Linked DNA regions of Rattus norvegicus. The protein of the gene in region 1 purifies or fractionates together with the protein of each later gene. This does not show direct contact. Links are inferred from orthologs where the notes say so. Each region holds a gene or a part of one and is shown in the gene's direction. Other genes may lie near its edges.

Region 1 (3,646 bases):
TGCTGATCTCCTCCAGGAAACTGGCCCCTTGCGCGAGCCTGCGAACGGCTCTGGGGCGTGGGGACCCGCGCCGTGTGCGCCCGCCCAGGAGGGGAGCGGGGGGAGGGGCACCCTGGCAGCGGTGGTGAGAGGGGACGCCGGGCTTCCTGGTCTGGTTCCAGCCCTTGGCTGAGCACTGAAACTTTGAGCTGAGGTCTGGTCCTTCTCCAGCCCAGCCTTTCTGCAGGAAGTGGAGAGATTTGTGGGCTGGGGCCTCCAGGGAGGGTGGCCGGTGGGGTGGGGCCAGCTCAGGATAGTCCCTCCCCCCACCTGCTTGAGCTACACTGTTACTGTGTTCTAACTCTGCAGGGGCTGAGAAGACCCACATTTCATGCTTGGTGCCGACACTGGATTCCCTCGGGTGCTGGCTCCAGGCCTGGGGAGGTGGGGGACTGGACCTTGGGTTTTAAGTTCAAAACCTAGATCTGGAACCCTCAGAGGTGGGGTTACGGGGGTGACATTTGAGGATAGGGTACTGACGGAGCTACAGCCGATGGTTTGAAAAGGGGCCTCACCGAGCCCCCACCCCCTCCTAGGGTCTGTCCGCCATCTTGCCAAAAACAATTTTTAAAGAGCACAGCTTTCATCTCTATAAACAACTCTCTGGACTTGGCTTTAACTCCACGTTTCTCTGAGCCTTTGCCCCTCTGCTCTGTCCTTGGCCTTTTGCTCTTCCTCCTCATTCTCCTGATTCCATGTGCCATGTACCCCACTCCCCTCAGCCCTGTACCCTGGTCCCCCTCTGTCCTCCTTTCCCTCCAATTTGACTCCGATTGGGAGGTTGGGATTTGGGGGGTGGCAGGTCCAGGGCGGAGGGTGGTTTAGGGGGAGGGAAGAGAGGAGGTCAATGCCTTCTTCCTGTGCTTGTTGGAATGCTCACCAGGATTGGAGGCCAGGGCAACCCCCCCTTGTCCTTGACGCCCCCCTAAGTCTGGATTGTCTATTGTTACTGTTTTTACGTCTTGGAAAAAGTTAACACAACAAAGGACTCCTTTGTCACTTCACTCCTTTGCCTCCTGGCCTCACCCAGGCCCCCCCAACCCCGCCCCCCAGCAGCTGTTCTCAGGCCTCCCTCCCGCCCCGTTTGATTTGCTTGTCAGGCCTCCTGAGAAGGAAGTGAGGTGAAAAACCAGGGCAGAGCAGTTCTGTGTAGGCATGAGCAGCAGATTGCAGCTGGTCAGTCCTCTGGACCCTTGGGGGGTTGTAGGCACCGATGAGTCCTTTCCCTCTGGTTAGAGAGGGGACATGGTTACAGCAATGCTGGACCGCCCGGCTGATGTCCAGGCCCAAGTAGGAGCCAGGAAAGTCCTGCCAAGGCCATTGGCAGAGTTCCCGGTGTGTTTGCAGGTAGGACGGTGGTAGTATGCAGCCAAGCTCCCGTGTCCCCAAGTGTCCTAACCTCTCTGCCTGGGCTTTGCAGCCACAGGAGTCATTTACAGCCTGACATAACACATGCTGTTGGATGCTTGAGCACAGAACTGTGTACGTCTAGCATTCGCTGGGAATGGCTGGAGCTCAGCGGGACTCAGCAGAGCAGCTACTCACCCATCCTTGGCTCTCTGCAAATAGATGTGGCAAAAGAGGCTGCCGGAGAGCCCTCTGGGGATCTGGGATAGTCTTCTCTCTATAGTTTACATCTGTCACACTGTATCCTTAGCTGCCCAGGCCCTGGGCACAGACAGCTCTCACCCAAATAGCCATGTTCTGTCTGGGGTGATGGGCCTAGAGCCAGGCACAGAGATTTTTGCTTGGGAGGGAAAGGGGGGACTGCCCCCCGCTGGTTGGGTCACCCCTCCTGGCTGCCCTCTTGGAGCTGAATAACAGGAATGGAGGGGGGTAACCCGGACGTAGTATTTAGGCCAGACAGACAGACCATTGATAGAAACAGACCCCCCTTTGTCATAGTGTCTCCCTATAGACGCGGGGCATCTAAAGTGATGGGCTTCTAGGAGCCCTAGGGACTCTTTCACTGTCTTCAGGAGGTCCCCCTGTCATCTCAGGGAGTGCCCTCCTGCTTTGCCCAAGCCTCTTGTGATTCTTGTGTGCTGCCTTGGACCCCACCTTAGCCAGGGGATTGTTGGATGGGGGGAGGGGCGTGGCTGATGTCAGAGGGGCTGGAGGAAGTAGAAAGGAAGCAAACGCAAAGGGGCCAGGGAGTGGCCAGCATCGAACATCCTGTCGACCCCAGTTTCCTCTGCCTCTAGTCTGTGCCCTTCAGTCCATCTTCATTAAGCCTTGACTCCTTCTGAACTTTGGGGGGCCCTGGCAAGGGTGCTGTTTGTATTAAGGTTTTGAAATAAAAGCCAGTCCCTTACTCTCCGATTACAGCTGTGTTCTCTCTCTCTCTCTCTCTCTCTCTCTCTCTCTCTCTCTCTCTCTCTCTCTCTCTGTGTGTGCGTGTGTGTGCGTGTGTGTGCGTGTGTGTGTGTGTGTGTGTGTGTGTGTGTGTGTGTGTGTATGTGTTCACACACAGATCTGGGATTGAAGCTGTATCCTGGGGACATAGGAGTAATGGGGCCTGAATATTTACCTGTCAGCCTGTCGGGGAATTGTGGAAGGGGAGAGCTGAGTTTGCAGAGACCACCTCTGTCCAGGATTAGCACAGACAAGGTGGACAGGTTGCAGGGGGATGGGTACCTGGGTCTCTCAAGTCTCCTCCTTCTCTCCTAGCCATCGAGACCCAGAGCAGCAGTTCGGAAGAGATAGTGCCCAGCCCTCCCTCACCACCACCCCTGCCTCGAATCTACAAGCCTTGCTTTGTTTGTCAAGACAAGTCATCCGGCTACCACTATGGGGTTAGCGCCTGTGAGGGCTGTAAGGTGAGTGGAGGGAGTCCCAGAGAAGGACAGTCTTGGTTGGATAAACGGGATACCCCCACATTCGTTCGTGTCCTCGGTGTGCAGTCAGCAGGGCCGTTACCAAGGCTGCCTACTTTCGCTTCTTCAGCAACCGTGGAGGAAGACGCCTGCAGTAAGGCCTCCTCCATAAATGAGCAGCGCTCTCTGTGACCAGAAGTTCCCTCCTGCCATGTTCTCCCTGTGTCTATCCTCTGGCCAGCAGCGGGGTATACATACACTGGCCCTGCCACTGTTTCCCAGGTTGTCATGGTGAGCTGGCCGTTTGCTGCCTGGCTCTTGGCTGGGGACCCAGGAGGCCTGCCCCCAGTGGCCTTGCCTGAAGCTTACCCGTGGTCTCCTTGCAAGAGACAGCTAGTAGCAGACACCCTGCCTTGGCCTCCCTTCAGGTGTCCAGGCTGCGGGCTCCCCAGTGGCTACTGGGTTTCCTGCCATCTCAGTTATACTGGTCTCTGGGCACGCATGTGGCTAACCCTTCCTGGCTGGGATATCATCTCTCTACCTGATTGATGGCAGGGCCTCTGCTCTAGTTTGTTCCGTCAAAGATAAGGGCCTAGAAGCTATACCTCCTCAGTACTTGGGGCTCTTGGCCCTGGAAGGAACCTCAGACTGGAATAGCCATCTCCAGGTATAAGATAGAGGTCAAGGGTAGTTAGTGTAAGACTGTGTATGTATGTGCTGGCCCTGTCTGGTTTGTCCTGTCTCATTGCTCCCTGGTCAGGTCTGTTTCCGTGCTAGCTTAGCTTACATTG
Region 2 (3,646 bases), on another chromosome or scaffold:
TTAAGCTTGGCTGTGAGCATCTTTACTTGTTGAACCATCTCTTTTTATTGTCTGGTATTTTATGGATAGATCTGGTTCTATAACCAAATCCATAGACACTGAGCAGGGGAAAAGCATAAACCGAGAAACAGTATGTTGGTCTTATGTGTCCACAGCATCTACTGCCGAGGCTGCGCCAAGCCTCTGTGTTGTGAATGCGCGCTTCTGGACCGCAACCACAGCCATCTCCAGTGTGAAATTGGTAAGGAGATCCAGCAGCTGCATGAGGAGCTGGGCACCATGACGCAGGCTCTGGAGGAGCAGGGCAGAACCTTCGACAGTGCCCATGCACAGATGCACTCAGCCATAGGCCAGTTGGATGACGCACGCTCAGACACTGAGAAGCAGATCCGCGCACGCGTGCGCCAGGTGATAGAACACGTGCAGGCTCAGGAGCGCGAGTTGCTCGAGGCGGTGAATGTGCGCTACCAGCGCGACTACCAGGAAATAGCTGGCCAGCTGGGCCACCTGGAAGCTGTGCTGCAGCGCATCCGCACTGGTGGGGCGCTGGTCAAGAGGATGAAGCTCTACGCCTCCGAACAGGAGGTGCTGGATATGCATGGCTTTCTGCGCAAGGCACTCTGTCGCTTGCGCCAGGAGGAGCCTCAGAATCACAAAGTCCAGCTGCGCACCAGCGGCTTCGAGGAGTTCAAGTTGTGCCTGCAGGACCTCGTCTCCTTCATCACCCAGAGGACAGGTAAGAGTTGAGGCCATGCTCATAGGCAGCTGGTTTGTCATTTAAAGGACCCATGCTTCACTGTTGCACCCAGGGGCAGGCAAATTGGAAGAGATGATCTCCATTCAGTAGATGAAAGACAAGTATCAGGTCTGAGGATCCAGGGAACAGAATAAGAGGATATGCTGATCTGGTGTGGCAAGCATCTGGAGGAGACACTTTACAAACTTATAAGATTATGGAGTAGATGTGACTTTGTGAGCCTTGGGGAACAGGTGGAAACTGAGAGCTGAGAACCGGATGTGGTATCATTGCAGCCCACTCTCGGTATCAGCCTCCTATGCCCAGCAAAAAAGAAGTCAACTGGTCTGTAAGGTTAGGAGAGGAGGAAGCTCAGAAAACCTAGCTATGAGGTGTTTAGTCAGACACTGAAAGGAAGAATTCCCCTAGAACAAAGCAGTCATCTGTCAGTCTCTAGGTCCTAGAGTCTCTGTTATTGGGCTTTTATGATGTATGGGAGTGGCAGGCCAGTTCCTGACCTCAAGTGTTGTCCAACTGGGAGAGTATCCTGGGCTACATCCCATAGCTAGAGACATGCTTGGCTCTGAATCAAAATCCAGGAGCTGTGCCCTGAATGAGCGGGTGGCATCAGTGGCTTTCCAGAGACCATGAGTACACATTTACACATTCAGGGGTTTTGTTTAACTCTTTAAGCGGGGACGTTAGCTCTGAGCAGCGGTTGGGGGGTGCCCCTTTTGGTTCCCCGCAGGTTCCAAGGATAGGAGGGCTCCCTCCTGGACCACATAAGCCAGGGGCTTATAAAGATAGGGTCCTAGAATGGAGATGGACTTCTATCTTCTCCATCTAGGCAGATGCATAGATGTGCACTTGGGGTTTAGAGACAAAGGTGTCACCCAGTGCTACTGCCCACACCCCACCCCACTCCACCCTATTCCATTCTATTTAGGTTCATCCCTGCAGCAGCCAACTCCAGCCCCTCTGTGGGGGTGTACCCACGAATGAATACCCAAGGAAAGCATCAAGGACCTCCCCTCTGTCTCCGTCCCAGCTAAGAATTCCTACTAGAATGCTCTCTATGTTTTGTTTTGGTTTTCCCCCAGATGTAGCTGTAGCTGGGAGAGCCAGCCCAGAGGCAGCCAGCACTCACCCAGAGGCAGCCAGCGCTCAGCCAGAGGCAGCCAGCACTCACCCAGAGGCAGCCAGCGCTCAGCCAGAGGCAGCCAGCGCTCACCCAGAGTCAGCCAGCACTCCTGGGAACTCGACTGACCTTGAGCAGGTGAGAGGAGTTTGATGTGTGAGGAGGGGTAGGAGGGCACAGCACGCGAATGCTTGGAGGTCCTGATGTCCTGTGATGAGGGAGAGTGCCTGAGAGAGGACAGCAGGTGGCTGGGCTGGAGCTCTCAGGAGGAGAGGGTCAAGGAAGGGTTGGCTGTCTCTGGTGCAAGGTTCCTTAATGCCCGACTAGCTCTTGATGTGCCACAAGCCAGTCCAGGAGGGGTCAGACCCATGGGTGGGCAGGCAGTGAATGTAGAGTGTAAACTGCAGCCCTGTTCGACGTGACACGGGATGTATCTGAAGCTCGCACAGACTGTCTGAGCCAATTTCTGGGGCTGGCATAGATGGACCTCCACTCCCACGCACTTGGTTCTTGGACTTAGGGCTAGGAGTCAGAGCTCAAGCCCACAGATTCCAGGGCCATCATGTACCTAAAAGACTAGCTCCTCAGGGTTGGGAACACCCTTAGATAATCTCATGTTGCATTCCCTCTGCTGTATCTTTGACTCAGTGACTTTCATACGCATGCCACTGGGAGCAGGGAGTTTACCCATTCTTGAGGCGGTACCTCCTGTTCTGATTGCTCCAACTGAGACTTCTCAGGATAGAAGCGCACGGGCATTCTTTCCAACACTCGTAGGCATGGCTCTCCTGCAGCAGGATGAGCTCCTTCCTTCCTGAGCCTGGCATCCTTCCCCTCCCCAGCTTGGTCACTCTGTTGTGTGCGGCTGGATGTCAAGATGTGGGCCCAGGACCGGGTAGACCTTCTGGTGGGCAGCAAGGGTATTAAACCTTTCTAGCTTTGCCTTGGGGTAAGCCATGGAAAAGGGATTGCTGCGGGTTACAGCACTGGGAAAAGGACTTGGGGGAGGCAGGACTTTTGAGAATTTTAGAGCTATAAGAGCGTGTGGAGTCTAAAAACCTCTTTCAGGGATGTAAGACCCAAAGAGAATCGGTGGTGAGCTAGTTGGAACTTGAACTTGGGCACGCAAGCGCTCTTTTTTTCATAGGGCTTCCTCCTTTTCACCGTGGTTGTCACTTGCGGGCTGATAGGACTCAGGAAAGAAGTCCGTAGCAATGTGTGGGAGCAAAGGTCATGTGAGGCTGGAATATGGTTGCATAGCCAGTGCTGTCAGGAGAGGCAGCACCAGTTGACATAGCACTGCCCCCTCCACACACATTCACCTTACTATCCCTCTGCTTCTTCAACTCTGGTGAGTGTTGTGCTGAGGGAACAGAAGCAGAGGCACCCAGCCTTGCCTACAGGGAGTTCCCGGCCTTTTATACGCCAGCAACTGCAGAGCCATAAAGGCAAAGATAAGATGGTTAAGCTGTCTGCCTCCTGTTCTGAGGATGGAATATCCGGGCCTTGGAACGTGGGAGGCCGTGCTTTACCACTGGGCTTCCTGCCCAGCCCCACACACAGTTTGCAGTTGAACATCTAACTTCCATACTTTTGAGGTAGTACCTAGGAGTAGAATTGGTAAGCCGTGTGGTAATTCTTTCATTAAAAAAGAAGATTTATTCACTTTTATTTTATGTATATGAGTGTTTTGCTTGCATGTTAAGTGTACCATATGCATGCAATACCTGCAGAGACCAGAAGAGGGTGTCTGGTCCCCTAATCCTGGGGTA

What was found.
Region 2: the proteins of Rara (region 1) and Pml purify together in Homo sapiens (affinity purification with western blotting; 6 studies listed by BioGRID, with this or other methods). This does not show direct contact. The link is inferred for Rattus norvegicus from reciprocal best matches to the Homo sapiens genes RARA and PML.

What each region holds. Positions count from the first base shown.
Region 1 is NC_086028.1:84,414,375-84,418,020, forward strand, and holds part of Rara (retinoic acid receptor alpha), read left to right. Parts: intron 1-2,709; coding exon 2,710-2,858; intron 2,859-3,646. UniProt on the Homo sapiens protein: Receptor for retinoic acid. Retinoic acid receptors bind as heterodimers to their target response elements in response to their ligands, all-trans or 9-cis retinoic acid, and regulate gene expression in various biological processes.
Region 2 is NC_086026.1:67,537,818-67,541,463, reverse strand, and holds part of Pml (PML nuclear body scaffold), read left to right. Parts: intron 1-155; coding exon 156-736; intron 737-1,836; coding exon 1,837-2,012; intron 2,013-3,646.